Linked DNA regions of Ovis aries. The protein of the gene in region 3 interacts with the protein of the main gene of each other region in a biochemical or structural test. Links are inferred from orthologs where the notes say so. Each region holds a gene or a part of one and is shown on either strand. Other genes may lie near its edges. The genes, in order: MAP3K1, ELK1 and MAPK8.

What was found.
Region 1: of the proteins of MAPK8 (region 3) and MAP3K1, one has a biochemical effect on the other in vitro, tested with the Homo sapiens proteins (3 studies listed by BioGRID, with this or other methods). The link is inferred for Ovis aries from reciprocal best matches to the Homo sapiens genes MAPK8 and MAP3K1.
Region 2: of the proteins of MAPK8 (region 3) and ELK1, one has a biochemical effect on the other in vitro, tested with the Homo sapiens proteins (3 studies listed by BioGRID). The link is inferred for Ovis aries from reciprocal best matches to the Homo sapiens genes MAPK8 and ELK1.

What each region holds. Positions count from the first base shown.
Region 1 is NC_056069.1:22,547,219-22,558,619, forward strand, and holds part of MAP3K1 (mitogen-activated protein kinase kinase kinase 1), read right to left. Parts: intron 6,455-11,401; coding exon 6,304-6,454; intron 5,672-6,303; coding exon 5,471-5,671; intron 2,279-5,470; coding exon 2,078-2,278; intron 817-2,077; coding exon 700-816; intron 320-699; coding exon 171-319; intron 1-170. UniProt on the Homo sapiens protein: Component of a protein kinase signal transduction cascade. Activates the ERK and JNK kinase pathways by phosphorylation of MAP2K1 and MAP2K4. May phosphorylate the MAPK8/JNK1 kinase.
Region 2 is NC_056080.1:57,181,527-57,192,927, reverse strand, and holds part of ELK1 (ETS domain-containing protein Elk-1), read right to left. Parts: intron 5,768-11,401; 5' UTR 5,734-5,767; coding exon 5,524-5,733; intron 3,124-5,523; coding exon 2,680-3,123; intron 2,026-2,679; coding exon 1,558-2,025; intron 613-1,557; coding exon 511-612; intron 427-510; coding exon 328-426; 3' UTR 1-327. UniProt on the Homo sapiens protein: Transcription factor that binds to purine-rich DNA sequences. Forms a ternary complex with SRF and the ETS and SRF motifs of the serum response element (SRE) on the promoter region of immediate early genes such as FOS and IER2.
Region 3 is NC_056078.1:41,788,900-41,799,328, reverse strand, and holds the end of MAPK8 (mitogen-activated protein kinase 8), read right to left. Parts: intron 6,372-10,429; coding exon of another isoform or gene 6,367-6,371; coding exon 6,221-6,366; 3' UTR 1,841-6,220; downstream 1-1,840. UniProt on the Homo sapiens protein: Serine/threonine-protein kinase involved in various processes such as cell proliferation, differentiation, migration, transformation and programmed cell death.

The DNA.
Region 1 (11,401 bases), on a different chromosome or scaffold from region 3:
TTTTCCCGTGATTTTTAACTTGAAATCCAAGATTCAATAGTTAAGTCATTTTAGAGCAACTTAACAAGTGTGTGTGTGTGTATATACATATATATATAAATAAATAAATAACCCCTAAAATTAAAGAGTAACACTGGATTAATGCTGTTAATTCCTTAAAAAGTACTGACCTGTTTTCTGAACTGGATGTAGACGTGCTAGATGACGACAGTGTATGAGAATTTGACATGCGTGAAACAAATTTCTGGATGGTGTTACGAGACGGAGCTTTGATCCTTGAGCTACGCCTACTGTGATATTTCTGGAACAAACTCTCAACCTAACATTGAAAAAAGACAGCAACATGACATTTGTGCCATAATGTACAGAAAATGAGTTCTATAGGTTGAATTATTTGGCTTTTATTTCATAAGTTTTTCACAAAGACAATTTAAGAGCTTCAAAAATAAGAATACATATAGTTTACTAAGAACAGTATTTTTATAGGTCAGTGTTTATTTTTTTACTCTAGAAGAAAAAAACTAATTAGTCAATAGCTTATAAGAGAACTATTTACAGACATCAAGTAATCCTTAAATACATTCACATCTCTGAAATGACCACTGTCTAACTTAAATTTAAAGCTTATGGAAAAATTTCAGGAGTATCATAAAAATTAGTTGACAATTTTACTCCAGAGCATTTATTTAAAAAAATTACCTCAAAATTCTTTAAAGTTTTTCTCCATAACATTGGGTCTGAAGGTTCTAGCTGAAATACCCGGAGCATAACAAATAGCAGATGAATACAAAATGTTCCACGCCCACAGCTGCAGTTCTAAAGAGTTAAAAAAAAAAAACACAAAAAACCTCTACTTTAATAAATCCGTGTTCCACTAGAACTCCTAGGTTGATCCCTTTAAAAATATTTCCAAGTTTATTATACTAAACTTTCTATTAATTTCTCATTATCTTTATATAATAAGATATATAAGGATATGCAAGAAAATTCTACAGCTATCTCCATGAATTAATCTCTTATTTTTGGTTTATTAAAAAGACCAGGCTGGCTGGTCTGGTGGCTCAGTGGTAAAGAATCAACCCACCAGTGCAGAAGACAGGGGTTAGATCTCTGGTCCAAGAAGGTCCCATATCCCTCGGAGCAACTAAGCCTACGCACCACAACTACTGAGACTGTGTTCTAGAGCCCACGAGCCACAGCTGCCGGGCCCAGGAGCCAAGGAGACACAGCTGCCGGGCCCAGGAGCCAAGGAGCCACAGCTCCCGGGCCCACGGGGCCACAGCTGCCGGGCCCAGGAGCCAAGGAGCCACAGCTCCCAGGCCCACGGGGCCACAGCTGCCGGGCCCAGGAGCCAAGGAGCCACAGCTGCCAGGCCCACAGGGCCACAGCTGCCGGGCCCAGGAGCCACAGCTGCCGGGCCCAGGGGCCACAGCTGCCGGGCCCAGGAGCCAAGGAGCCACAGCTGCCGGACCCAGGGGCCACGGCTGCCGGGCCCAGGGGCCACAGCTGCCAGGCCCACGGGCCAAGGGGCCACAGCTGCCGGGCCCACGGGGCCACGGCTGCCGGACCCAGGGGCCACGGCTGCCGGGCCCAGGGGCCACAGCTGCCGGGCCCAGGAGCCAAGGAGCCACAGCTGCCGGGCCCACGGGGCCACAGCTGCCGGGCCCAGGGGCCACAGCTGCTGGGCCCAGGGGCCACAGCTGCTGGGCCCAGGGGCCACAGCTGCCGGGCCCAGGAGCCACAGCTCCTGAGGCCCACACACCCTAGAGCCCACGCTCTGCAACAAGAGGAACCACAGTGAGCAGCCCCTGCTCGCCACAGCTAGGAAAAAGCCCAAGCAGCAACAAAGACCCGGCACAGCCCTAAATAAGCCATAAAAAGACCAAATTTGTATTCTGAAGTATATCAAATCATAGTAAAGCCCTTTATAAACACATTAAATAAAGTGTTTACAGTTCCCCCAATAGTTTAACTCTCTTTAGATTACAGAAGAGAATTACATGCTAATTTAAGAATGTCACAGTATACTGAGTTAGTTCCAGATCCTAATAAAATGTAAAATGGTGACAGTTCCTACCTGAGGCCCGATAAACACCCGGTATTTGTTGTCTGGGCTGTCTCCTCCAATCAGGAAGGAGTTGGGTCCTATTTGCTGTAGTAAGTACAGCCTGGCCCGCATCACTTTGTTTACACGGCGGTTTGTTTCCTCGGGGCTGTATGGTGAGAAGCCATCTGGTGAAGGGGCTCTTCGAGGTGGTGTGATTCTCCCACTCTGAAACTTCACAATATTTTAAAAATTAGGTAAATTGCTCCTAAGAAATTTACTCCTCCATAAGAAAAAAAATGACCTAAAAAAGGTCACACCAGACCTTTTTTATATTCACCAAAAAATGCCTCAATATATAATATGATGGGACAAAATGTGTTTTGCAAATGCATTTGTCTGACATATTGCCAGAGTAAATTTTTAAAATCTGTCATCCTTAAAATAATAAATCTTTGGCTAGGAGAGACAAACGTATGGTAATTTTACAAATTATAAGTATCTGACATCTTTGAAAAGTTGTATGTAAACCAAAATAAAAAGCATAGAAAATGTGCTTCCTAAACAGGTAAAATGACTTGTTTCTAGGGATGAAAATGAAGCATCCAATTTCCTGGCTTCCACTTCAGGGATTACTAAATGTGCTTCCTGTGACCGGTCATTTACAAACAGTTCCATGGAATTCTCTGTGGAGAAGGAGGGGTAAATGACTCTTCCCAGGTTACGACATCTCACTGGAGGCTGCTGAAAACGCTCCTGTGGTGAGGGTGATGTGTGCCACTCACTCCACTTCCCTGATTCCCCTAGAACTTGGTCTTTCCATCACTGCCCAGCACAAAGTCTGGCTCTTTTTGATGCCAAACTAAACAGGTAAAAGGTAATAAAAGCTGGTAAGAAAATGAAGCGGTTGGGCGCCTCCAACAGGGCTGGTGGGAATGTAAAATGGTGTACCTGCTTTGCAAAACAATCTCACTTTGTAAACCTTTGTAAAGCAATCCCACTCCTATGTATATACCCAAGAAAAATGAAGCTATGTCCACGTGAAAATGTGTACAGAGCTGTTACCAGCAGCACTGTGAAGCCAGAAGTGGAAATCAAATGCCCACCAACTAATGAGTAAATAAACAAAATATGTATATCCATACAAGAGAATACTATTCTACAATTAAAAATGAATGGAATACTGATACAAGCTATACCATGGATGAGCCCTGAAAGCATGATGCTGGGAGCAAAACCCAGCCACAGAAGACTATACATATTATATGATTACATTTATGTAAAAGGTCCAGGCAAACTGTATATAGTCAGGAAGTAGATCAGTGGTTGCCTAAGGCTGGGGAGAGACTGCTAGTCTGGGGTTTTCTGCTGGAGGGATGAAAATATTTTAAAACTTGTAGTGATGGCTACAACTATGTATATACCAAAACTCAATGTACTGTACAACTAAATGGGTGAACTGTACGCTATATGAACTATATCTTAATAAAACCATTGTTTTTTAAATAGGCAATTACTAAAAAGTAAAACAAAACCCAAAACAAGTACACATGCATATACCATTGGACTTGCTAAGTATTCACACTATGGATATGTTCACTAGATGTGCAGAATGATGTATGCATAAAAAATATTTTTGCAAGACTGTTTTCAGTAATGAAAAGTTGAGAAGGAACATAAATGTCCGTTAGTGTGTAGTTCAAAGAAGCCATGAATGATCTTTATCCAGATAATGAAACGCTAGGTAGCCGTTAAAATGAGGAAGTCACCTTGTCTAATATATATCCCAAAGAGGGTGTAGGGGGACGGGAGACACAATTCTTTATTTGCGGTGGACTTTCATTTTGATGACCCCATGGACCACACCTCCCAGTATACTTATACACCCTTCTGTAGTCCCCTACCACACTGATTCTGGGATTTGAGCATGTAACTAGATTTGGGCAATAAGGCATCAGTAAATATAATCCAAGTGGTGGCTTGATAAGAGCTTCCATGCTGGGATTTGCTCTCTTGAATCACCTTTGTTTTTTGGCTTAACAGAAATGTATCATCTCATAGTTCCAGAGGCTTGAAGTCCACAATCAACGATCAAGGTGCTGACAGGGCTGGTTCCTTCTGAGGGCTGTGAGAATCTACTCCACCTGCTTTCCTAGCTTGAAACACTTGCTACAGCCTGATTTCTGTGCTCTGAGAAAGAGAGGCCAACAGCCCCCAGCTGCTCCAGCTGAATGAAGCACCAGACAGGGGAGTGAAGAAGCAGCCCTGGATGTTCTAGCGTCTGCAGATGCCACGGGAAGCAGACATGAGCCACTCTTGCTGAGCCCTGCCTATTTCAGATTTATGAGCTAAAATGATTGTTCCCATGTCAAGTTTTTTAAAAAATAGCTAATTTAAACATGTGTCCACATAAAGCTGATAAATACTGTTGAGAATCTTGGGCTTTACTGTAAAATTTACTTAAAATTTACTTTCTGAAGTATTTATGTGCTTTAACAACCTCAGGTGTGAGGAAACCCAAATCTCCCCCTTCTGGTCACTATACCACAATTATTTTGCCATCACTCATTTGCTTTTCAAGGTTAGAAAGTTTTAACTCGCATTCCTGCCAGTGGTAATCTCTCTGTCTTGGAGGGTCAGGACCTAACTTTTTACAAGTCTCTTTGATGTCTGGCTCAATACAGAGACTGAATCAGAGTACTGAATCTCAATACTGAGGTTCTCATCCATGCTTCTGCGTTCAGTCTGCTGTGATACAGTCTGCGTTCAGTCTGTATTTTGGTTGAATACATGAAGAGAATCTGGCCTCACGTAGACATGTATTTGGGAAATCCTTTTCAAATAATAACGAATATTCGTCTTTGATACTACATCAAAGGAATGGCAGATCTTCTAAAAGTTCATGTATTTCATGGCACAATACACACAAAAAAACCCACAAGTGATAATACCATTGGCTCATTAAAAGTCTAAGTACTGTGAAGCTATCAAACTGACAGCAGTGGATATGAGTTTTCCAAAACTCTAATTATTGCTTGAAATCTCAAATTTTACCACTAGTGAAGAAACAGATCAGCTGTTTTCCTTGAAGTGAGTCTTACTTAATTCTTTGTAAGGAAAATGTCTGTCAAATACCCAAGTGAGGAATACAGCTTCCACTGTCATACCTTTAATTCAGGCACATGCACCAGCAGCTTTACTCACCACTGTAAACCTCAATGCAGTGCAACAGGCAGATAACATCTCAGGGTTCCTACAAGATCAGTTTTGCCCTAATGGATCCACAGGAAGCATCTGAGGGCAGGCACCCTGAGCCCAGGGTCTGCGGGCACACTTTGGGAATGTTGATCTAACAGATGGTTAGCCAATCTTTCCTGTGTCCTAAGTAAGTTTTAAAATTGTAGAAAACTTAGCACATTTACTTACAGGCACCGGAGAAACTCTTTTTCTCCTTACTCCTGGAGATTCAGATTTTACTGTGCGACCTGAGGGGGAGCTGCCAGGGGAAGGGCTGCGTCGGCCTTTGGGAGCTGAGGAAGCAGTGCTCGTTGGGCCCTCTCCTTGAGACTCGGCTGCCAAGTTATTAATTTCAGATCCATCTCCTTTAATAGGGATTGGCTTTACCACCTAAATTAAAATGCCAGTATTTTATTACTTAAAAAATAAAACAAGAAGTAAACATGAACATAAGATCAAGACAAGAACTCAGTTTTTAAAATTATGCAATATTATACAAATACAATGGAAAATATATCAACTTTTCTTTATTAGTTTAAGCTGTAAGTGTAAGGCTATTTTTAACCACACATTTCAGTCATTTACGCTTCATCAATTGAATGTTGATATTTACATAAGGCATTTTAAAATGTTGTCATACATGAATTTTAAGAGATTTAGAATTAAGATCCTTAGATCCTACCTTAGAGATAAAACATCAAAATAAAACTGGAAAAATCGCTTTTCTAAGTACAGTATAAATCACTAATTAAAGGATTTTCGAGACACAGACATTAGAGGGCAGTGTTGCTTTAAGCATTACCTCTCCCACTCAACCAGAGGGATTACTCCTTAGAACAGTGTAAGTTGCTTAATGAGCACAGCGTTAGCTACATTTTGTTCAAGTGTCTAGAAAATGTCAAAGCAAATAAAACTGCCCAGCATTTAAAATGAAGGGGGAAAAAAAAAGCTTACAAGAGGATCTATTTATGCTTAATTTCCCACTTCCTCCTATGCTTGCTTCCTTCCAGCAGGTAACTCACCACGGGGCCTCTCCTGTTCCTCCGTTCCAGCCATTCATGCTTCCAGGCTGGCATACAGGTGGCCTTCAGTTTCTCCCTGATCATTCGTTCTTCTGGGCGATCGTCCATCTTGTGCAGTCCCTTGAGCGTTTCTTTATTCTCCATCTCACGACTAAAAACAGAAGGAAAAATAAGGAGAATGAGATTTATATATGAAAAATAATTTTCAAGAACAATATGGTTTTACTTCATACTTTCAATGGACTTGCAACTAAAAAGATAACTGCTAAAATCCCCGAATGACTTAAGCAAGATATGAAAATATCATTATGAATCATACTATGTTGTTGAATTTACACTGTAACATGGAGAGTGTTAAATGCTGCCTGATAACACTAGTGTAATAATGTCTTTAAAAAGTAAGGTTCTATTTAGAAGGCGCAGGCTTACTAGTAATACTAGCGCAGACCTTCCTTTGTTTCTAGGTAGTTAATAAAAAGCACCTCAAGACATTAAGCACTGTATTAACAAATACATTCGTGAAAGCTGCACTGTTTCCAATTACACCATTTTAACATACTCAAGTATATGACAGACAAATATTTAGAAGAGCTAATTATTACTATTTATCCCAGGAATTCCAATAACTTAAGTCAATATAGGTAAAATCTGGAAAATATGCTCATTTGCAGAAATAAGTTAAACATTTAATAATCTAGGTGAAACCTAACCACATCTTCTAATCCACAGTATTTTTTTCAAAGTCTCAATAATTAAACTTGTTTTCTCAGAAAATGATATTGTACTTGGGGTATTCCATATACAAATAGTAAAAATTTACCTGGTAGAAACATTTTGACCTTTACACGATAATGTATTGTGGAGTTATAATAAAATATCCAGGAAGCTGATAACTTTTGAGAACTAACTTTTCAAAACCGAATAGGTAAAACACCCACTAGCTTCAAAATACACTCATATCCACACACGGATATATGAAACACACAATATATATAGGCATGGATTTTAAAACCTGGTTTTATAAGGAAAGAGTTAAAGCAACTGCATCCTGGGAGAAGCAACAATTTAGAAAATACTCAGTGAACTTCAGTAACTATTTTGGAAACTCTGTAAAGCTATGGAACAGTTTTTTGTTTTTGTTTTTTTAATTACACTGATAGGAAAAGGAAATACCAGAGATGATAACTGCAAGCTTACCAAAAAGTCAAATTCAAACTCTTCTAGGAATATTCCAGCTAATCATTACTATAAAGCAGCAGTGTTTGCAAAGCAGCAGCAAACAACAACAAAAAACCCAACAATAGCAGTAACAGCCCCACCCAAGCCCCCAAACCTACTGAAAACAGGCACCAGAAAGGAAATAACAGTCAACTGGTTTACTTAAGCATCAATACTATGGAGGGAGTGGAAACCAGGGTATTAAATACCTCTGTGCCTGAAACTGGCCTAGATATTTTTACTAATGCAAAGAATACATAACATTTGAAACTTGCAGAGGGGCATTAAGACACACCACATAGTAAAATATCTCCATTACTCAGGTATAAAAACTGTCACAAAGAGAGGCAATATGGGACAGAGGGCACTGATTTCCTTTAAGTATGTGACTGCTTTCCCTGCTCTGAATATATCATAAATGTTAGAGGTGAGTCAGAGGAAGAGGGAGGGATGTAAGGGGAAGGAAGGGAGGGAGGAAAAGGAAGGGAAAAAGAAGGGGATAGGGACAGAAGGGGGGAGAGGGGAAAAGGGAGAGAGAAAATGTTTTCTCAAAAATTCATCCTGCTCAGTTGATCCTTACCCAGGGAAACTCAAATTTACAGGCAATCAAATTCAAGGGCTGATAGCACACTAAAAATTCACTTACAACTCTCTGGTATGAAAAGCACTTTCCACCCAGTAACAATGTTGCAAGGTATGGCTTAAAGATTCCCAGGCTAGTACTCAAAACAGAAGTCACACTGTAGAACTGCAGTGCATTTTTACGCCAGAAGCTCCTGCAACCGCGAAAAGTGCCCTCTTTCCCCTGGTCCTAGATCTCTCCTCCTCAAATTTGTTTCATGAGTATCTCTTCTCAGTTCTGTATTTTCAGTGTCTTTTTCCTAGTACCCACTCAAACACACAGAGAACTCTCCTTAACTAAACAAATCTTCCTCAATGACGTGGTTTCCTTCAAGTGGGTATGATTTTCCTCTTTCCTTTCCACTTGTTTGAAAATACTATAATCTTTCAAACCAATTTCTTATTCCTATCCTGTATTATTTATATTTAATGATATTAAATATAAATATTTAAACATACCAGTAGTTCAACTTTTGCACACATCTAAGATTATTCCTTTAGAATAAATGCCCTGAAATGGAATTGTTGGGTCCAAATGTACACAAATTAAGACTTTGGTTAATACAAATTATCCTCAAGAACACATACTTTCAGTCACAATGCTCAGGTCAGATTGTCACCTTAGCTGGTCTCAACTAGCAGCAGACTCCTGAGGGGGCTTCTTCACTTTGAAACGTACTCCAACCTCACTTCACAGAGCAGCCAAGGTCACTTCCCCCATTAAAACCCTCTGATGGTTTCCCCCTGGGCTGAGAGTAAAAATCCAAAATGTTATGGCTTATGAGGCCCTGCATCATCCAGTCTTACCTCAACTGAAGTCACCCAGACCCCCTCTCCCCTCACACTCGATTTCTTTCACTGACTGGCTCCATCTCTCCTGCTCAGGTTTTTTGCACAAGCTGTTTCTTGTCTCCTTTTTACCTCATTAATTTCTACTCACTCAGTGGCTTTTCTTCAACTCCTTACAGACCCTTCCCACTCTCAATTAGGAATCTCTAGTTCCACTCTTCCACAGCTCTGTACTTTTTCTCTGAAGTGTTCACTGCTGTAGGCACTGCCCCCCAAACTGTAAGCTCCATGAAGGCAGAGGACCAGTGTTTCCATATACCCAATGGCTAATAATGCCTGGCTTACAATAGGTATGAAAACAAATACTAAATGAATGATCATTTGTCAACATCTTTGGCAGCTCTGAGGACCTTCCTAGTTCTAAAATTTAAGGATTACTCATGTTACTTAATCTTTTTACAGTTGTGCATTTAATATAACAGTTCTGCACTTAATATAAGACTCAGTCTGTAATTGAAATGTTATTCAGTGGAACAATTTTTGTTCCTAAATTGACCTCTAAATTTAAACCTGTTTTTTCTAATACCTTCATAAGTAATACTTATATATTCTTAGTTCTAAAATGTGTATTTTTTTCATATTAAAAAAATTATCCAGCCTAAGGAAGGCAGCTAGGACCCTCTGTGTGTCCTCCCAGCACTCCAGAGCTTCAGTGCTTCCAAGCCTTCCATGGGGACACAGGTCCTGGGCCCAGCCACCACCTCCTCCATTAAACTCATATAAACTTTCCACTGTTAGTTCAACTTTCTCATGCCTGTGCCTCACATTTTCAGTTCAGCTCAGTCGCTCAGTTGTATCCAACTCTTTGCGACCCCATGGACTGCAGCATGCCAGGCTTCCCTATCACCAACTCCCTGAGCTTGCTCAAACTCATGTCCATAGAGTTGGTGATGCCATCCAACTATCTCATCCTCTGTCATCCCCTTTATAGAGTTGGTGATGCCATCCAACTATCTCATCCTCTGTCATCCCCTTCTCCTCCTGCCTTCAATCTTTCCCAGCATCAGGGTCTTTTCCAATGAGTCAGTTCTTCGCATAAGGTGGCCAAAGTATTAGAGCTTCAGCTTCAGCATCAGTCCTTCCAAGGAATATTCAGGACTGATTTCCTTTAGGGTTGACTGGTTTGACCTCCTGGCTGTCCAAGGGACTCTCAAGAGTCTTCTCTAACACCACAGTTCAAAAGCATCAGTTCTTCAGTGCTCAGATTTCTTCATAATCCAACTCTCACATCCATACATGACTACTGGAAAACCATAGCCTTGACTAGATGGACCTTTGTTGGCAAAGTTATATCTCTGCATTTTAATATGTTGTCTAGGTTGGTCATAGCTTTTCTTCCAAGGAGTAAGCGTCTTTTAATTTCATGGCTGCAGTCACCATCTGCAGTGATTATGGAGCCCAATAAAATAAAGTCTCTCACTGTTTCCATTGTTTCCCCCTCTATCTGCCATGAAATGATGGGACCAGATGCCATGATCTTAGTTTTCTGAATGTTGAGCTTTAGGTCAACTTTTTCACTCTCCTCTTTCACTTTCATCAAAAGGCTCTTTAGTTCTTCGTTTTCTGTCATTAGGGTGGTGTCATCTGCGTATCTGAGGTTATTGATATTTCTCCCGGCAGTCTTGATGAAAGCTTGTGCTTCATCCAGCCCAGTGTTTCTCATTATGTACTCTGCATATAAGTCAAATAAGCAAGATGACAATATACAGCCTTGACGTATTCCTTTCCCGATCTGGAACCAGTCTGTTGTTTTATGTACAGTTCTAACTGTTGCTTCTTGACCGGCATACAGATTCTCAGGAGGCAGGTAAGGTGGTCTGGTATTTCCATCTCTTTCAGAATTTTCCACAGTTTATTGTGATCCACACAGTCAAAGGCTTTGGCATAGTCAATAAAGCAGAACTGGAACTCTCTTGCTTTTTCCATGATCCACCGGATGTTGGCAATTTGATCTCTGGTTCTCTTGCCTTTTCTAAATCCAGCTTCAACATCTGAAAGTTCAGGGTTCACATATTGCTGAAGCCTGGCTTGGACAATTTTGAGCATTACTTTACTAGCGTGTGAGATGAGTGCAACTGTGCGGTAGTTTGAGCATTCTTTGGCATTGCCTCTCTTTGGCACTGGAATGAAAACTGACCTTTCCCAGTCCTGCGGCCACTGCTGAGTTTTCCAAATTTGCTGCCATATTGAGTGCAGCACTTTCACAGCATCATCTTTCAGGATTTGAAACAGCTCAACTGGAATTCCATCACCTCCACTAGTTTTGTTTGTAGTGATGCTTCCTAAGGCCCACTTGACTTCACATTAAAGGATGTCAAGCTCTAGGTGAGGATCACACAATCGTAGTTATCTGGGTCATGAAGATCTTTTTTGTACAGTTCTTCTGTGTAATACTGCCACCTCTTCTTAA
Region 2 (11,401 bases), on a different chromosome or scaffold from region 3:
GCCACCCCCTCCAAAAGAGTTGGGCCAGGCTCCTCCCAGTGGCCTTCAAAAAATAAATAAATAAACCGTCCCCACCACTGCAGTAGGAGACGTATAAGAGCGGCCACTGGGGGACTGATCAAGAAGAGAGAAGTTGTATGTTTTTTTTTGTGGAAGGGTTATTGAGAGATTCTTCTTCCTAAGAATCCCTACCCAACCACAACTGGAGCACGAGTCTGTCAGCTGAACTATGTTTCTCCTTGAGACAGCTGGCTGGAGAGAAGTTCAGGGCATGGAAGGAGTAACCCCAGAAAGGGGTGGTGGTGGTTGTGGTGGTGGTGGTGATAGTCATGGCTTCTGGGGCCCTGGGGAGAGCACCACGGGGGTTGAGAGGCCATCCACGCTGATGGAAGGGATGTGCACCTGCGCGCTGCCACTGGACGGAAACTGAGGACAGAAATAGGGAGAGGTCATGGATGGGGACCGTGCTAGGGTCACTCACACTTTCTGAGATCGGGGAGCTGATCCTACCTGGAAGGAGAGCTTGGCCGGGCTACGGGGTGCAATGGGACTCAGGGTGCTCCAGAAGTGAATGCTGGGGGGCAGCGAGCTGGGCGTCAGCAGCACCGGGGTCTGTGGGGAAGGGATGGTCAGAGCACAAGTGAGCAAGAGGGCAGCTGTGGGAAAACCAAAGGAACTTGGTTCTGGCCCCACCTGATTTCCCACTCATACTTCCAAGATCACTCCTCAAAAGTGCACAGGCCTAGACCATAACTACTGAGGCCATGTCTGTGACAGCTCTGACTTCACACAGACAACTCTAACTCCAGAGGGCCCACCCCAGGCAAGACCACCTCCAAGAGCCCACCCGCTGTTTTCAAACCTCACAATCCCAGTAGCTCAGGATCAACTTCCAACTCTTATCCCTGACCTGCATGCTGCTACTGCTAAGTCACTTCAGTCGTGTCCGACTCTGTGCGACCCCATAGACGGCAGCCTACCAGGCTCCCCCGTCCCTGGGATTCTCCAGGCAAGAATACTGGAGTGGGTTGCCATTTCCTTCTCCAATGCATGAAAGTGAAAAGTGAAAGTGAAGTCATTCAGTCGTGTCCGACCCTCAGCAACCCCATGGACTGCAGCCTTCCAGGCTCCTCCGTCCATGGGATTTTTCAGGCAAGAGTGCTGGAGTGGGGTGCCAGTGCCTTCTCCGCAGACCTGCATAACCTCACAGGAAACCCGCTGAGAAAATCTCAGACCCCAAAAACCCCACTCAGGTTCCTCAAGCCATGCCTCAACCCAGAAACAGTTCCTGCAGAAAGCCTCTTGGTCCCTGCCCACAAAACTCCCCAGAACCGCCCTTCTTTGGACACCTGATCCTTGGCATTGCAGACTCCTCCATCCAGTAGCAATCACGCCTGTCCCTCCACGCAGCCAATCCCACTCGAAGGCTCCACCCTCTCACTCTTTCCGAGGTAATCGCATTGGCCTTCGCGGTAAGTCTCCCTCCCCCACCCCGCGCCACCCCGCCCCAATCCCATTTGTTCCAGGTGCCAGCCCCGCCCCTTCAAAAGTGCTCACCAATGTGTGCGTAGGTAGCAGGGAAGGCGTCAGCGCTGGACCTGGCGCCTGTAGACCTGAACCAGTTCCCGATCCCGGAGTCCGTTCGGGTCCTGGTCCACCCAGCAGGCTCGGGCTGAGTGGAAGCTCCAGGTCCCGGGGCTTCCGGCCCTTCTGAGGCTGGGCAATCTCCGCGCTGGGTGTTGTAGAAGCCGTGAGGCCGCCCACCTGCGCCGCAGTTTCCATTACGACAGCGGACAGCCGGGCTGGCACGCCCTCTGCTGGAGGGACTTCTGGGTCGACTTTGGGCTCAAAGGGCTCGGCCTTGACGGCTTCCAGCACAAACCCCGCCTCCCCACTGGCTGCAGCTTCTAACTCTTCCTTGGGCTCTTCCACTTTGACTTCTGGGGGCAGTGGCCGGCCCAACCCAGGCTCCATGTTTGGCTCTTCGGATTTAAGGTTTGGGGCCTCGGGTGGGGTCAGGATGACCTGGGAGAGGAACGAGTGCAGAAGGGATGCCTAAGGATTCCTGGGGTAGTGAAGCCAGTTATTTCCCATGGAAAGTGGGACCTGAGAATAGGGGCAGGTCCTTTAACAAGATGTGGTACTTTGCCAAGAAAATGGGGCTTCTGGTCCTCTTATCTGGGTTGCCTTCAGGGGTGGGACTCCAGGAAATACTGCCCCCATGTATAAAAGCAGTGGTTCTCAAAAATTTGCTTTATGGACCAGCAGCATACACCTCATCTGGAAATTTGTTAAAAATGTAGACTCTTGGGCCCATCCTCAGACTCACATAAAGAAAAACTCTCGGGGTGTCCCTCAGCACGTCTGTCTTTAAAAGCCCTCTAAGTGCTTTCTGATGAGTGCTAAAAGTGTGAGAGCCAGTGCATTAAGCAAATACATTCAAGGGCACCTACTACATATTGGGTGTACTGCTAATTGTAGTGCACTCAATTTCCTTCTTCCTTCCCAGGGTTTTGAATAGTTTTCCTCCCCATCTCTTTCTCCAAGGGGACTTCTGTGTCTCTCCTTCCATTATATCATCTTTAACAGGACATTATGTCCCTCCTCTTCCCAGTCCCTCTCTTCATTTGGGAACTGTACATCCCTCCTCTTGCTGAAATTCCATATTCCAGTCCTTACCTGCAGAGGCAGGCCAGCCTCCTCAGCTTCCAGGCAGGCCTCCAAGGGGTTTGGACTGGTGCTCCTGCTCCCCGAGGGAGGCACTGCTACTCCTGCAGGGCCGGTGTTGGGGAGCACTGTGGAAGGTCGAGGGTGAGAGGGCGGTTGTGGCTGCAGGGACTGGATGGTGAAGGTGGAATAGAGGCCTGAGCGCATGTAATCATTTCGGCTGCTGCGCGCCAAGCCACCTGGGCCTGCCATTCCTGCACCCTTGAGTGTGCCTGGCTTCCCAGAGGCAGTGTCCCCGGGGATGGCGTGTACAGCTGTGGCGCCTGCATTTGCCAGAGTGGAGGTGACAGACACCTCAGGCTGAGGCGGGCAGTCCTCAGTGGAGCACCCTGCGACCTCAGGGTAGGACACAAACTTGTAGACAAACTTCTGGCCGCTCACTTTGCGGATGATATTCTGGTAAGGGGGAAGAGACAGGATAGAGTGTCTTAGAAGAAAGGGCTAGAGAGAGTGGACGGTGAGGAGTGTCTCCTGGTGTTTTTTTCCCTTCATGCCTCTCCTGTCCTTTTACATATACACTGTCCTTGCTCAGTGTCTGTGTCCCCATAGGGTCCTCTTCCCAGCTTCTTTCACATCTCACTCACCTCTTCATCTGAGGCCTCCTCCCTTCTCCCCTACTTTCTACTACTCTTCCCCAACCCGATTTCCCTGTCTTCTCCTCCAGCTTCTTCCCCTTCTCTGTCTCCCCACTGCATAATCTTTCCTTTAGTCTACTGCCCTTCTCCCTGCCACACCTCAGTCCCATCCATCCCCGTCCAAGTCTCCCTCTGTCATACTCTCATCTTCTGTTAGGTTCCCCCACCCTACCTTAGATACACATGGCCACACCCACTGGCTCCTCTCCACACTGGGACCCAACTAGGGAAGCAGATCTAGGAACAGGCTTTCCTCTTGGCTCCTGGAACCAGGGGTGTCTGTGGGCTAACAGGGCCGGGCCCTGGGGGTGGCTGCCAGGACACAGTTTTGGAGTCTAGCTAATGCAGTAAGACAGGGAAATGAAGTCACTGATATAAATGTTGGAAGAGACTAAATGAATATGGAAGAATATGGTGATGAATTGTTAATAAATATGAATTATTAGAGGATGATTTAAAGCTCTTGACACAGCTGTGAAACAGGGCAAAGTCATCAGGGTGGAGAGGATGAGGAGCCTTATTCTTAATACCACTGGAGAGGTTTAAGCTGAAACAATTGGAAAATGAAGTGACTGATAGCAACTAACAAGAATTTAAAATACTGGTAAAAATACTGTGGGAATCTTAAGGCTGGCTTGGGTGGGTCACAGAGCACGTTTGGGGTATTTCAGGATAGCCCTGGAGGATCTCAGGGATGTTCTAGTGGTTTCAGTGCATAGAGTGAGGCAGACTCATTATGAATAGTGTTCTGGAGGTTTGAGCTAAAGGATTAAAATATAAAAATATAAAAAATATAAATATATTTTAAAAAATGAAATAAATGCTGTAAGCGAGTTAACGGTGGGCAACAGCACCGGTCTAGGGCTGTTCTGAGGGACAAGAGGCATCTGGGGGGCATTAGGGCACCCTGAAGACATCTTCATGTTGGCCACGAATGTCACAGGGTGGGTTTGTGTTTCTCAGAAAAGGAATGAAAAGGGAGACTCATTAATATTGTCTGAGAAGTTTCAGTGTGGGGTGAGAGGAAAGGGAATTGGATGAAGGCAGTCAAAAGGCACAAACTTCCAGTTATAAGAAAAGTAAGTACTAGGGATATAATGTACAACATGATAAATGATTCACACTGCTGTATGTTATATATGAAAGTTAAGAGTGTAAAGAATTTTTTTCCTTTTTATTTTGTATCTGTATGAGCTGGTGGATGTTTATTTAACTTATTGTGATAATTATTTCTTGATGTATACAAGTCAACTCTTTATGCTGTACACCTTAAACTTATACAGTAATGTGTGTCAATCATACTGCAGTAAAACTGGAAGAAGAAAAACATTGTTTTGGAAGTTTCAGGTAAAGAAATAAGAAAATGAAATAACTGGTATAAATGTGAGGGGGGATATCTAGCACTGGTTTGGCAGTCTGAGAGGAAAAGATAAGCAAAATTTATAATTTTAGCTACAGGAATAAGATGATAAAATAAAACAACTGATATAAATATTGGAGAGGACTGGTGTTGCTCTGGGAATACAAGAGGATGGGGTGTGGAGCGGGCATTATACACGTTGTTTTGGAGGTCTTAGCTAACGAAATCAAATATGAAAAGAATTGATAAAAATGTTGAGGGCCTTGGAGGATGAGATAAGCAAAGGTTAGGATAATGCTATCATGGAGACTTTGATTCTAAGAATAAGGCTATTCTAGAATTCTTATTCTGGGATAAGAGCAGACCATGAAATACCTGGGGGAACCCAGGACTGTTCCAGGATGAGGAAGACTCATTATTAATAGTGTTTTCAAAAGTTTTGGTCAGAGGAATAAGGAATAAGGCAAGAAAATGAAATGTTGTGTGGGGTGTGGTTGGGACAGAAGGACTCTGGGGATCTCAGAAAGAATGGAGTGAGTAGGGGGTCAGTATTAATGTTGCTTTGAAGGTTTTAGCCAAAGTTAAAATACAAGAAAATAAAATAACTGGAATAAATGCTTGGGGGCCCCAACATTGGTCTGAAAGTACCAGAGGATGGGGTAAAAAATGGTAAATTTTAATACTGTTTTCAAAACTAGAGCTAGATCAAATTAAGACAAGAAAATGAAATAACTGGTATAAATGTTTGCTGGTGTGGGGGGCGGGGGAGTGGGGTCCCAGCCCTGGTCTCAGACACCTTACCTTGTCATAATAGTACCGCAAAGCCCGGCTGAGCTTGTCATAGTTCATGTTGGTCTTATTCTTGCGCAGCCCCCACAGCCGGGCCACCTCCTCAGCGTCCACCAGCTTGAACTCACCGCCATCCCGTGAGGTCCAGGAGATGATGTGGCCATTGCCTTGCTCTCTTAGCAGCTGCAGCAGAAACTGCCACAGCGTCACAGAAGGGTCCATCGCTGGGGAAGTACTCACGCCATCCCAGGGATACCTGGAGGGCAGACAGCTCAGAACTAAGAGGCTGTGAGTATATAAAGGGGAAGAGGTCAGTAGGAGAAAGATTCCTTTCTTTCCACCTTGCCTCCACCTCTGTCCTCAGCTACCACCATCATTCCCTGAGTACCCTCAGCCTGGCTTTGGATTATGGAAGGGTGGGATGAGAATTTTGGAAATGATACGACAGTGTGAATGTGTTCTGCCTGTGGGACAAATGTGAACCTCTGGGGGCCAAAGGGCAGACTGTGCTAGGCAGAATAATGTCCCCTACCCAAATATGTCCACGTTCTAATTTCTGGAAACTGTGAATATGTTACATGGCAAAAGGAACTTTGCAGATGGATTTAAGGTTATGGACCTTAAGCTAGAGAGATGTTTGGGTGAGCTCAATCTCATCACATGAAGCTTCCAGAAAGGAAAGTAGCCCTGCTAACACCTGGATTTTAGCCTGGTGAGACCTGTGCTGACCTTCTGACCTCCAGAACTCTTAAGAGAATAATTTGTATTGTTTTAAGCAGTTAAACACAAGCTGGAATCAAGACTGCTGAGAGAAATATCAATAACCTCAGATATGCAGATGACACCACCCTTATGGCAGAAAGTGAAGAAGAACTAAAGAGCCTTTTGATGAAAGTGAAAGAGGAGAGTGAAAAAGCTGTCTTAAAACTCAACACTCAGAAAATGAAGATCATGGCATCTGGTCCCATCACTTCATGGCAAACAGATGGGGAAACAGTGGAAACAGTGACAGACTTTATTTTGAAGTCACTGAAGATGGTAACTGCAGCCATGAAATTAAAAAATGCTTCCTCCTTGGAAGAAAAGTTATGACCAACCTAGACAGCATATTAAAAAGCAGAGACATTACTTTGCCAACAAAGGCCCATCTAGTCAAAGCTATGGTTTTTCCAGTAGTCATGTGTGGATAAGAGTTGGACTATAAAGAAAGCTGAGCGCCAAAGAATTGATGCTTTTGAACTGTGGTATTGGAGAAGACTCTTGAGAGTCCCCTGGACAGCAAGGAGATCAGTCCATCCTAAAGGAATAAGTCCTGAATATTCATTGGAAGGACTGATGCTGAAGCTGAAACTCCAATTCTTTGGCCACCTGATGGGAAGACTGACTTATTTGAAAAGACCCTGATGCTGGGAAAGATTGAAGGTGGGAGAAGGGGATGACAGAGGATGAGATGGTTGGATGGCATCACCGACTCAATCAATGGACATGAGTTTGAGTAAACTCCGGGAGTTGGTGATGGATAGGGAGGCCTGGTGTGCTGCAGTCTATGCAGTTGCAAAGAGTCGGACACAACTGAGTGACTGAACTGAACTGAAAGGAGTTAAAAGTTTGTGATAATTTGTTACAGCATGAATAGAAAACCAGAGCAATGCCCCTCACCTGAATATTTTCATTTGCACCTTCTACCACATCAAATACCAAGTTTCCCAGGAGGTTCCCTCTGTCAGCACCTCATAAAGGCTGTTTACTCCATGCTGGGTTCCCTTCCTCTGCTTTCAAGTCTTCTCCTTTGTTCAAGTCTCAGCCCCAAGGAGCCTTGACTTTATGAAAATTCCTGACACTGAAATGTCTGCTCTCTTCTGTCTGTCTACCCCATGCTCCTCTGACCTGTTCCTTTCCTTCTGATTCTCCTTCTTGACAACAGCAGTAATGAACATCTACTGAGTGCTAAATATGTGCCAGGCATTGTACCAATTAGAGGCAATATGGCCTATTGGACGATGACCCGGGCTCCAGAGCCAGACTGCCAGGGCTGGAATCCTCATTCTGCTACTTATTAGCAGTGTGACCCTGGGTGTGTTCTTTAACCTCTTTGGGCCTCATTTTTTCCATCTCTAAAATAGATGATAATACCACCTAGCTCACAGGGTTATTGTACAGTAAATATACTATGCCTGGGGTATGATAAGCTCTTACCATTTCTAATTTGTTCCTAATTCTTTATCTGCTATACAGAATATCCATTTCTAATTTGTTCCTTACTCCTTTTCTGCTACTCTAAAACCTGATTTGAAACAAAGTAAGGCCTTTTGTGGTCTTTATGGATCTTCACTTGGTGTGATTGTTCATACATCTTGCTGCAGAAATCTGAATGTAGCTGATTACAGAGCCCACTAAGAGTATTACGTAACATCTCGTATGTGTACCTTGTTACTTTTCTAAAATCTGAAAAATTCAAAATTGTGAAACACATCTGGCCCCAAGGGTTTTAGATAAGGGCATGTAGACCTCGATTGCTATTTTTACAGCTATTGACTCATTTCTCTCTCATCACAACGTTGGAAAATAGGTACTCTTATTATCTCTAATTTATAAAGGAGGAAGCTGAGGCACAAAATGTCTAAATGACATTTACATACCACGCAGCTCTAAGTGGCAGAGTCAAGATTTGGACCCAGCCAGCCAAGTTCCAGTTGTCTGAGCTTTTTAACCATTAGACTAAACTGCCTCTCATACTGACTATTCCCTCAGCATGTCATGCACAGAATAGGACCTTCCCTGGCCTTCTTCCCCCCCAACCTATTAACTGCTCGTTTTGCTGAGTGTGAGTTGGAAATAAACATGAACTTCCTATTCCTTAAGGAAAGAGTTTTTATCAATCACCCAGCTGGGACTGCTGGGTTAAGAAAGAACATCTTTCTATAATTTATAGCTTGAGTCTTTAATCTGTAATGAAATACAGTCTGATCCTCTTATGTCTGAGCTGTTTCGAAGTTCATTTGGCAGACACAGTTTCAGGCAATTATGTAAGTCATAAGGCCACAAAGTATCCAGATTACAGTCCCGTCATCAGAAACCTTGCTTGGTTTATTTGGAAGGCCTGTTTGTTTCAGAGGCAGAGAGTCCACTGTGACTCCTGGTGGTGACAACAGGCAATTTTACCAGTTCCCCTTTCAGCAGCCACAGAATCTATCACTTAAGGTGAAACCTGACAGTTGGCTTCAAGCCTCAGCAGCACACGAGGTTTTGTATTTTGTTTATTATCACATCTCCCACATAATCCCTAACAAGAGTTCTAGTCATATGCCTCTCTCAGATGCATTTACTTCTCTTTATTTCATTCATTTAGCAAGCATTTATAGAGGGCTTGCTGTGGGCCAGGTGCTGGGGAGACAGCAGTGGATACAACAAAAATCCCTGCTCTGGCATAACTCCCATTTTAGTGGGGAAGACAGACAAGAAGCAAGATAAACAAGAATTCTTCAGACGGTGATAAGAGGTCTGGAAAAAAACAAAGAAGCAGGGAGAAGTTACTTTCTGAAAAGGTATTCACTGTGGAGGTGATATTTGAGCAAAGACCTAAGAGAGGTGAAGGTGTCAGTTTTGTGACAACCTGGAAAGCAGTCATCCAGGCAGAGAAAATAGCTCTGGTGAAGGACCCTGAGGCTGGAGAGCCTGGCAGGTCAGAGGAAGGCAAAGAAATCTGGCACGGTCAGAGAGAAAACAGTGAAGGGAAAGTATCAGCACTAGGACCTGAGAGCAGAGGGGCAATGGAGGCCAGACTGTGTGAGGCTCTTTTAGGCCAGGAAGGGCTTTGACTTGACTGAATAAGATAGGAGCCATGAGATGGCTGTGAGCAGAGAAGTGACAGGCTGGGACTTGGATTTTAACAGACCCTCAGGCTGTTGTGAGGAGAACCAGCTGTAGGGGCTGAAGAGGCTACTGCAATAGTCCACGTAAGAGATGGTGGTGTTAGCAGTGGAACTGGTGAGAAGCGGCTGAGTTCTGGATAAAACCTGAAGACAGAACGAATGGAATTTGTTGACAGATAGCACTAGGGGTGGTGTGGGGTGAGAGGTGACTCTAGGTTTGTGGCCTGATCACCTGCGATAGGGGCCCTGCGGGAGAGCATGTTTTGAAGGGAGAACATGGGGTCAGATTTAGAAATGGTCAGTCTCAGAGGCCTGTGAGACACCTACATGTATGCCAGGAATAATATTACCAATTTAAAAAACAGGAACCAGCCACATAGCCCTTACCATTTTAGTCATTTGACTCATTCAATCCTCAAACCAACATCATGGGTGGTCACTCTTATTACCCTCCCATGTTCCAGGTGAGGAAATGGAGGCACAGAGAAGTAATACAACTTGCCTAAGATCACAAAGAGACAGGGATCAAACTCTGGCAGTTTGGCTCTAGGCAGTGATCCTAGCCACTTTGTTCCACCTGCTCTCTATAGAGCAAAACTGAAGGGTAAGATCCTTGAGGGGGACAGGAATGCTATTTTACACAGGGTGTTCAGGGAGGGCTTCCCTGAGGAAGTGACATCTGAGTAGAAATCTGAAGGAGGGGAGGTAGCAAGCCATGCTGACATCTGTGGGAAGGGTCTTTCAAGCACAGGGAACAGAATGTACAAAGGCTCTGAGGTGGACTGAAGCTTGGCATGTTACATCGTGGGCACCCTGAGTTCATCCAGTTCCCATCTCTAAGGATATGCATGTGCTGTTCTCCCTGCCAGGAGTGTCCTTCCCTCTTTTCAACATACGATGAACCCTTTATTACACACATCATTAAGTTCTGAGATCTCCCAGGCAGAATTAATTCTTCCTCTGTGTGATGAATAACCTGTCTACCCCAGCAGATCTTTCTTCTCTCTGGCTTGCCAGCCTCATACTCCTCTATCCTGTTCTAGCTCTGTGACCATGAGCAAGTTACTCAACCTCTCTGGGTCTGTTCCTGTACCTATAAAATGGGGGATATGCCACTCTCAAAGTTAAGTATCTTCAAGATACACCTACTCTGAAAGGTTTCTGGGAGGATTAAATGTCAGTATATGCCAACATCCGCTGGATTATCGAAAAAGCAAGAGAGTTCCAGAAAAACATCTATTTCTGCTTTATTGACTATGCCAAAGCCTTCGACTGTGTGGCTCACAATAAACTAGGGAAAATTCTGAAAGAGATGGTAATACCAGACCTCTGACCTGCCTCTTGAGAAACCTGTATGCAGGTCAGGAAGCAACAGTTAGAACTGGACATGGAACAGGCTGGTTCCAAATAAGGAAAGGAGTACGCCAAGGCTGTATACTGTCACCCTGCTTATTTAACTTATATGCAGAGTACATCAATAACCTTAGATATGCAGATGACACCACCCTTATGACAGAAAGTGAAGAAGAACTAAAGAGTTCTTGATGAAAGTGAAAGAGGAGAGTGAAAAAGCTGGCTTAAAGCTCAACATTCAGAAAACTAAGCTCATGGCATCCGGTCCCATCACTTCATGGGAAATAGATGGGGAAACAGTGGAAACAGTGGCTGACTTTATTTTGGGGGGCTCTAAAATCACTGCAGATGGTGATTGCAGCCATGAAATTAAAGGTAAGGTCAGAGAAGTTATTTGTTTTATTAATTCACAAGGCAACCCACTCCAGTATTCTTGCCTGGAAAGAAAGTTATGACCAACCTAGACAGCATTATTAAAAAGCAGAGACATTATTTTATCACCAAAGGTCCATCTAGTCAAGGCTATGGTTTTTCCAGTAGTCATGTATGGATGTGAGAGTTGGACTATAAATAAAGCTGAGTGCCGAAGAATTGATGCTTTTGAACTGTGGTGTTGGAGAAGACTCTTCAGAGTCCCTTGACTGCAAGGAGATCCAACCAGTCCA
Region 3 (10,429 bases):
GAACCCCTCTCTTTTCCCTCTGTCTACAAAAGGACACTAATGAAAATGGGGCGCAGGCCACGCAGGCGCATGACACAGACTCCATCAGGGAACAGACTGTGCGGACAGAGGCTGGCAGGCAAGTAGGTGGCAATCTTTCCTTTCCTTCCACTCCTGGAACACTAAATGGCAAGCTGATGCCATACCTGAAGTGTGTTCCGTCATGAGCTGTGATGTACAATCTGTAAAATACACCCAAGGTACTCTCCCCAAACAACCTCTTGTGTGCTGACCAATGAGCCCCAAATGCTAATCTTGCCAACTTCACTTATGTGGTGTAATCTAAATCCCCAATTTTCCATTCTCAATATGCGCAGAGGACCTCAGTTCTCAATCTCTGGCTTCACAATTCCCACGCCTCCACTCTTATCAGATCCGCGCCCACTGTCAGTTATTCTAAGCCTGTTCATATTAACTCCATTCACAAACTAGCAGTTCCTACCGCCTTTAAAATGATGACAAGCTCTTCAAAATGTTTCACTTCTGATCAACTTTTCAGTCTTACCTCCCATCATTCTCTCCTTACAGTCATACCCCACTAGGCCATTCTTCCCTTCTCATTCCCTTTACGTGGGAATGCCCTCTTCTCCAAACTTTCCTTGAAAAAATGCTTCTTCTGCAAAAACCCTCATTCCCTCTAATCAGTCCTTCCCTGTGTTCCTTCAGCATGACCTTCGCTCCTCCATTCAAAACTTATTTCGATCAGGCTTACTAGGCTCGAGTGTCATCATTTTTAGACCTCTCATGCCCAGCTTCCAACACAGGGTCTCAGACAGATTTGCACACACAGATGGAGTTAAATGAAATATGTTACCAAGCACGGAAGCAGAGAGAGAGACAACAGGATATGGTGAATGAATTATGTCAGACAGAAGTCTAACTTCACAGAACATATTTGAAGTTATCTTTTAGTTTCAAATGAAGTCCAAAGACGTACTGCTATAAAAGCTAAGAAAAAAAAAACCTCAATCCACAAAATCACTACAGATCAATTTTCAATGACAGAGTCAATGGATCTTTTAAGGAGCAGTACTAAAATAAATGTAACGCCGCAATTAACAAGAACCACTTCATTTTATCTGGTGTCACTAGGGCGTTACGATCGAGTGGAGATTAACTCGGCACTCAGCACGGTCGTCCGCTCTTGCCGTCCAGTCTATCACCGGCGGTCTCGCCAATGACTGTGATGAGACGGAGAGCGTCAGGCTGGCAACCGCATCAGCTGATGGAGCAGTAGTGGTCAGGTGGATACTTGGGCCTTGCCTGTCCTTTCCTCAGAACCAGGCGAGCATGAGTTCAGGTGAGGAGGGGTGTGAGCTTGTGGATATGACGGTTATCTGGAGCAAGAGTCGAGCAAGATAGATGAGAGTCAACAGACTGGACATATGCAATCAGTGAGCCTGCTAGCCTGCCTAGTACAGGCAAAGAGAACACCTGCATGGCAAAGCTGGAAATGCACTGAGCTGAAATCCCTGGGTGGCTTTGAAACAGATCCTTTTAAAATACTTCTTGCCAAGTGGTCTGCGGTCCATGTGACTGCTATCTCACATGGCTACTAGAACTAGGTTAAGGGCATTGAAGCAAATTCCTTTCTTAAGATAATGTTTCTCTAGCAAGTTCAAACACCAGAAAACCAGGGTGACAGTTTAGCCTTTTCACAATTTATATAAAATCCAAATCTAAGAGACTTGCCCTAGTATCCCTTTAATCCCAAATCCATAGGAAATCTGATACCTGCTCAGAAAAACTTTTTACCAAAAATTTGTATTTTGTTTTCAATGAAAAACTCTTAATTTCATAATTTTCATATCACTTTTTTCTTTTTTATTTAAAATATTATAACCAATTAACATACTAAGATAACATTGTTTACATTCCAGTGGTGCATGTTTAATGACTAGGGCATGAAGGATTAAAAACCACAATAATTATCTCAGCATTCCCTACAAAGCGCCCCATTCTGTTTTGTCTAGAGGAGGGGAGAGGAGAGGGATTGGAACACAGGGAAGGGAGCGGAATGAAAAGGAATGGCATCATACAGGGAGAAAAGCAAATGTCGATTATCATACTTAGGTTTCAGGTTTCAGAACCTGTTGAACAGGATAAACTATGAGAAAATAGATGTCACAGTCCAGGTAGACAGCTAGTTCAGTTTTAACTTCATCATTCGGCTAAAAGATTAAGAGCTTCTCAAAAATATACCAAATATCGGGCCTACAAAAGTAATTTATTTCTTCGTAAAATTTACTAAGATTTATTCCTTTTGTAAAATGTAAAGAATGGACTGATATCACGAGCAGGTTTCTACTTACAAAAAGAGACAGTAATAACGTCCAACGAGCACATCTAACACAATTTTCTAAGATACATAGTGAAAGATTTTACAGGTGAGTCTCTCTTACTGATGCAAGGTATATATTTTACATACTTACTGGTATAGTGTTGACACTGGCTATAAAGTACTTAACACACATAATTCACACTCAGTGAAGATCTAACAGTAAGGGCAACTGCTTACTTGGGAAAGCATAGAAAATTAGTGTGAGGTAGTTCAATAAAAACCTAGTTTAATTTGTAAGTTACTGTGAGAATAGAACATTGTGCAAAACTAACCCACAGGTAATATTTCTCAGAAGTTCCAGTAATGAAGAGAATCTAAATCGGAAATGGCCAGAAAGTGTTACTCTTACTAGACTCTCCTTAAGAGCACTTAACTAAGAGCAAGTTAGTTTGAAACTAATTAGGACGTTTTTTTCCTTACCAGTTTTTTAATCATACCCCAAACTATACATTTCTGCTTCAATGCCCTTTACCCCTTCATCTTTCATGCTATTCAGGAAAAATTAGTTTCCTCTGATTCAGGAAAAACCTAAGAGAGATCAGTAGAAACACAAGTATACTAAAATGTAACGGGTCCAGAGGCAACACTTAAGGGCTGCTAATGACAGGACAGTGGTGTCTGGTTTTCCTACTGGCAAGTTTCCTGGGGTCACGGGGCGTCATGCATTCACTCTACAGCTAGTGTGTGACTAATGAACAACACTCACAAACAAACTATAACAGTATTCTTGAAAATAGACTATGCTTTTACCTCAACATGTTGTACAGGCTTATGTCTAGGCAACAGTGAGTAGTTACATCCTCACAGTGTAGCACATACTGGCCGATAGTGTCTACCAAGTCTTATCTGTAACCCCAAATGGCTTCATTCGCCTGCTGCTGATTGCACTATCAGATATCCACATCCTCTTCACCTTCACCTTTTTAGACAACACAACAGGATCAGCATGGAAAAAAATAACAAAAGGGCTTATGGGAAAGTCTGCTGTTTTACATGCAATCAAGCTTCTTGCTATTGTTAAGGGGGTTGTGTGACAGCCTTCTCACTTAAGAGGCTGGCATTTCTCTTAGGAAGTCTGGTGTGAATACACTGTGCCTTTACCAACATAGGGCATGCATACTGGGAACAATCAGCGGCTGAGGGTGTATAACAAAATGAGAACTGTAGCAAACAGTACGAAAGCGCTGAGATGCTCTATTTTTGCCTGTTATAATTAAGCAATCCCAACAATACAATCATTTAACAAATGGTCAGTTTATATTAGAGGGTCACAGAGTCGTAACCAGGAAGAAATACACAGAAAGAATTACTTTCCTAACCTATAACGCTGAATAATAAATCTTGGTCTAAATAATTTTCTGACAGTAAGACCATGGGTATATTAAGTATATAAAGTTGAAAATCCAAAGTTATAAGATAAGCAAGGTGGTTTTACGTAAATACTGCTTGACAGAAATCTTATTTCCACTTATTTAAAAGGTGTTTAAGATGTTTTAAAGTTTCAAAAACTTCTAAAACTAAAAAGAACTAGCCCATCTTTAGCTTATTTGACACAGTTAGAGAAGAGGGAAAGTTGTATTGAGATACTGCATTTTAAAAACCCAGGGCACACAACACTTACAGACTTTGTTTTTAGGATGTATCTTAAGTCTACATGACTATTAAGAGTTTTGTTTTCTCTCAATCAACTGAAACATGCTGGGTGGCAAGTGGAGCTGGCATTTACAACAAATGATACTGTTAAAACACCTGGTTTTCCTTGCTTAACCAACACCTGCGCCAAGAGATGGCTCATCAGCAAGGAAGCAGAAAATGAAGGGAATCTTCTGGGAGCATGTCAGTTGTTAAAGTGCAACAGTGAAATAATCTATTCTATAGAAATAAAGCTAGGTAACTGTCAAGCTAATAAAACCTCAGCACATTCGTGCTCAAATTCTCCTGAAACTGCAAATCCAATCCTGTTTCTACAATTCAAGAGGTGTCATAGTCTCAAAACTTTATTTTGCCTAATAAAATTAATGCACCCTGTCATATGAGTAGAAAAGGAATAAAAAGACTGCCACTTCGAAAGAGGCTGGAAATCATGGCTTAAACAATCAAAAACAATCTTACTATTTTAAAACATATAAAATGGCTGTTAATGTATTTTGATCCTATATATTGCACATTAACAATGACCTAAAATACCTTATTCAAAAGGAATTTTGCACTGAATACATGAATACCGTGCCAAGTGGACGTTCATATGCCACACATTGAATCGCACCAGTTCCTACTCCTGCTGGTCATTAATTCCATTGGGCATTCTGCCTAGAACTTTTTGCTTATTTAAGTATGCATTTCCCAGTTCATTACAAGAAATCCCTCTTGTTCCAAAAATAATAAAAAGTGCCTGGGGCATTACAGACAACATATTTCAGAGATAATGAGACTTCAATGACATTTTACTTAAGAAAAATTCTGTTATAGAGAAATAATTTTGCAGATATAAAATGTAAACAATTAACATACAACTGTCAGGAGCAGCACCATTCTTACACTATTCAACATCCACATCGTGTGTTTTATTGAAAATTAGGTATTAAAAAAAATGAAAGACTCAGACTAAATAACTACCACTTATGCCTGCTCTGCTCAATATGAAGAAACAGTCCTTAGAAAATGATATCCTATATATGGCTGTGTGCTACTATTTTCAGATGAACGGTATATTGCTCATTTTATACATCACCTACAGAAATCTAAGTAGGCTTTGGAACCTCCCAACAGCTAGTATAAATATGATTACGCCACAGGTAGAATCAAATGGCCAGAAACACCCTGAGAACTGGTGCTCAACTGACTGACACTCTAACAGGAGACTGAATAGGTCCAAGGGCCCGAGGCTGTAGGAAAGAGAAAGACCAGACTCTAGATCATTGCTAGGACCTACAGCCTGAGTAGATTAACTCAGTGTATACAAAAACAGGCTCACAGCTAGTACAGGTGAACCATCTGTTTATTTGCGTTGAAATGTATTATTCATGAAGTATCCTCTTGACTTTATGTGATCATAAGCTTTGAGCATGCCACAAATTTGCAGGAAACACCATATTCTCTTACTGTACTGTTGGTGGGTGGGATACGGGGATAGGAAGATGGTGGTAGATGCCCAACACTTTCAAAGACATGCTCTGAGTTATTCTGCCATTCAGATGATGGGGCTTTTGCCAAAATTCACATAGGATTACCTATCAGTTGTATGTAACTAAATTAGAATTGGCAAGTAGCAAATATTGGAGGTTTTTTTTTTTTTAAAAAAACACGTTCATCATTTACAGTAGTTATTCCTGAATATAACTGGCTACAGGTTATTTTCCCTCACTCCTCTGGGGTTATTTCATTGATAAGCACATAACCCTAAAGGATAGCATCATGAACAAAACATTTGAAATAAATTCTAATAAAAAAAACTATAAAATCTTAAATAATTCATGATATAGGCAAGTCACCACATAATAGTTGCTTTGATAAACAAAATCTTACAAATTCAGTAAAAAAAAAAAATCAGCAGCATAAGATAAAGCAAATATGCAAAAATTTTAAACCATGATAAAATAATTAGGTTTACATTATACAGTTAATTACAGCAAAAATACACAGTTCTGTTGCTGTTTTAAAACACAACTTAAATTTTAAATTACATCACTTGAAATTAAAAAAAATAAACTACTTTACTACAAAATGAATTCTACATTTTTGAAAAATCACTCAAAAATAAGACCACTGAATTGTTTTCAAAGTAGTTCTATCAATGACTAAACAACTCCCCATCCCTCCCACCCCCCGAGGCCCAAGTAGTCATCTACAGCAGCCCAGAGGCCCAGCCGACGCTTCTAGACTGCTGTCTGTATCCGAGGCCAAGGTCGGATCTGTTGACATTGAGGACACATCATTGGCAGACGACGATGATGACGGACGCTGAGAGCCACTGGTCACTGCTGCACCTGTGCTGAGGAACAGAACAGCGAATCAGTTGCAGACAGAGTTGCAGATGGAGCTACCAGTACTGCGCTGACTGCCTCCAGTGGCCAATCATTTTTCTTTTGGTTTTAAAAGGCTCACTAAAAATAACCACAAGTGACACACAGCACAACACTAACTTACAAACAGTTCACTGCAAGCTGCGGGGCGAGAATTCGGAAAATGTCTGGAAACCTGGAGCCCCTGCCCTTTCTACTAATTTTTCAATTTCAGACAAGAATTATTCGAGACAAGAATTCTCAACTCCAAGCAATATTTAGAAACAGTCCTATAGCGAGATTCATGAACTCGCTTCAGACTGCGTGCGAATAATACTGATAATACATGCAAAACTGTCTGTATTGCATTTTGCTGTAGAGAGGATCTCAAGGGATGTATGACTCAAACAGTTAAAAAAAACTACAGCCCTAATAAATGTAAACTGGTGCAGCTTCTATGGAAAAAGAGTATGACGGTTCCTCAAAAATTAAAAAGAAAACTGCCATTCAGTTCAGTTGCTCAGTCATATCCGACTCTTTGTGACCCCACGGACTGTAACACGCCAGGCTTCCCTGTCCATCACCAACTCCCGGAGTTTACTCAAACTCATGTCCACTGAGTTGGTGATGCCATTCAACCATCTCATCCTCTGTCGTCCCCTTCTCCTCCCACCTTCAATCTTTCCCAGCATCAAGGTCTTTTCCAATGAGTCAGTTCTTCACATCAGGTGGCCAAAGTATTGGGAGTTTCAGCTTCAGCATCAGTTCTTCCAATGAATATTCAGGACTGATTTCCTTTAAGATGGACTGGTTGGGTCTCCTTGCAGTCCAAGGGACTCTCAAGAGTCTTCTCCAACACCACAGTTCAAAAGCATCAATTCTTTGGTGCTCAGCTTTCTTATAGTCCTACTCTCACATCCATACATGACTACTGGAAAAACCATAGCTTTGACTAGTCAGACCTTCGTTGCCAAAGTAATGTGTTTGTTTTTTAATTAGCTGTCTAGGTTGGCCATAACTTTTCTTCCAAGGAGCAACTGTCTTTTAATTTCATGTCTGCAGTCACCATCTGCAGTGATTTTGGAGCCCAAGAAAAAAAGTCTGTCACTGTTTCCCCATCTATTTGTCATGAAGTGATGGGACCGGATGCCACGATCTTACTTTTCTGAATGTTGAGTTTTAACTTAACTTTTTCACTCTCCTCTTTCAATTTTCATCAAGAGGCTCTTTAGTTCTTCTTCACTTTCTGCTTAAGGGTGGTGTCATCTGCATATCTGAGGTTATTGATATTTCTCCCGGCAATCTTGATTCCAGCTTGTGCTTCTTCCAGTCCAGCGTTTCTCATGATGTACTCCGCATATAAGTTAAATAAGCAGGGTGACAATATACAGCCTTGACGTCCTCCTTTTCCTATCTGGAACTAGTCTGTTGTTCCATGTCCAGTTCTAACTGTTGTTTCCTGACCTGCATACAGATTTCTCAGGAGGCAGGTCAGGTGGTCTAGTATTCCCATCTCTTTCAGAATTTTCCAGTTTGTTGTGGTCCACACAGTCAAAGGCTTTGGCATAGTCATAAAGCAGAAGTAGATGTTTTTCTGGAACTCTCTTGCTTTCTTGATGATCCAACGAATATTGGCCATTTGATCTCTGATTCCTCTGCCTTTTTAAAATCCAACAGTTCACATACTGTTGAAGTCTGGCTTGAAGAATTTTGAGCGTGACTTTGCTGGCGTGTGAGATAAGCGCAACTGTGCGGCAGTTTGAGCATTCTTTGGCATTGCCTTTCTCTGGGATAGGAATGAAAACTGACCTTTTCCAGTCCTGTGGCCACCACTAAGTTTTCCAAATTTGCTGGCATATTGAGTGCAGCACTTTCACAGCATCATCTTTTAGGATTTGAAATAGCTCAACTGGAATTCCATCACCTCCACTAGCTTTGTTCGTAGTGATGCTTCCTAAGGCCCACTAGACTTAGCATTCCAGGATGTCTGGCTCTAGGTAAGTGATCACACCATCATGATTATCTGGATCATGAAGATCTTTTTTTGTACAGTTCTTCTGTGTATTCTTGCCACCTCTTCTTAATATCTTCTGCTTCTGTTAGGTCCATACCCTTTCTGTCCTTTATTGTGCCCATCTTTGCATGAAAAGTTTTGAGGTTCCTCAAAAAACTAAAAAGAAAACTGCCATATGATCCATCAATCCCACTCCTAGGCATATATCCAGACAAAACTATAATCTGAAAAGACAGCATTCACTGCAGCACTATTCACAACAGCCAAGACACAGAAGCAGCCTGTATGTCCAATAACAGATCAATGGATAAAGACATGGCGCGCACGCACACACACACACACAGACAGACACACACATGCGTGCACACGCACACACACAAAGACACACAGACACACACACACCCCTTGGAATACTACTCAGCCATAAAAAATAACAAAATAAAGTGATCTGCAGCAATATGGATGGCCTAGAAATTATCATTCTAAGTCAGAAAAACAACTACCATATGATACCATTTATATGTGGACTCTAAAATATGACAAATGAATTTATCTATGAAACAGAAAAAGACTCACAAGGAGAACAGGCTGGTAGTTGGCCAAAATAAGGGGGGTGAGGGTGGCTGGACAGGGAGTGTGAGATGAGCAAGGGCAAACTACTGTATATACGGATAACTGAAGCACTTTGCTATATTCCAGAAACACAACATTGTAAATCAATTATACTTCAATAAAATAAATGTTTTTAATAAAACACCTGCCCTAATAAAAAATGCTTCATGACATCTTCTCACTGTAAAGTACAAACCATCCTTCTGATACATCCTGTTTTAAAGCAAAAGCCAGGACAAAGATTAAAATCATTTTAATTCGAAGGATCCTTGGTCCAGCTGCTCCATCTGGTTACATGACTTGCCAGAGCCACACAAGTGCTCCAGATAGGGAAACTCAGGTCTTGCTATTTCTGTTCTAGTAAGTACTTGATAAATGTACACATGGACTTCATAAAGAGATAAAAGTAGGGGAGACTCTTTTCCTTTACCAAAAGTATAGCCTAACAAGCATTTCCTGGATTTTAAAAAGTAAGAGGAATACTTAACCTACAGAAACATTCTCACAGTGCAACTGGGTCAGGAAGAAGAAATGACATTATGGGGTGGGGAATATGACCCGTGACTCATGCAATGGACAAGAGCTTTTGAACTACATGATCACTAAATAGGAATCATTCCAAATATGAGTATATTAAATAATGCAAGTTATACAGAAGTTCTTAAGAATACATTTATGGAATAAAAAGCAACAGTTTTCAAACTGAGTAATAAAAATTTCTAGGGGTGAGTTTCAGGAACCCAGTGATGTTAAAACCTAGCGAGTTGAAAACCACTGCTCCAGAACCCAGTACCTCAGTGTTTGAAATTATCCCTCCTTTCTGTCCAATGACAAGAAATAAAACATTAAAGTATGAGCGGTCCTCTGAGAGCTTGTCTTCAAGTCCAGCAATGAACTAACTAGAGGCCTTGGAACAGGCAAATCTCTAGGGCGCTGGGGCAGGGGCTGGGAGACAGAGGAGAATGAAACCTCAAGGGACGGAGCGGGCAATGGGAGGCGCACTGGGAAAGGAGGTGCATGGGATGCCTCAGGCCGGCAGGAGAGAGGAGAAGGAGGGGTGAGACCTCAGATTCCAGACCCAGGAGCCTATCGGGCTCCCAGTCACAGCGAGATGATGATACCAAACTTTTAAAAGTTCAATTCTGAGTATCACTTAGAGTCTTTCATCTACAGATTAAAATCACTTCAGAAAAAAAAAAGTTCAATTCGTACACTATAGGATGCACCTTTTCTGACCAAAGAGTATACAATCCCATGGATAGCTTCAAAGACCTGTACTGAAACAGTCAAATCATAAAAGTGTTTTATCACATATACTTTCTCATGCCTCTATTTTTTATCCAAATTTTATTTTATCCAAATTTCTTAATCTAATAAAAATTAAAATTTAAATGCATCATAAATTAAACTTTTTAATCTGAA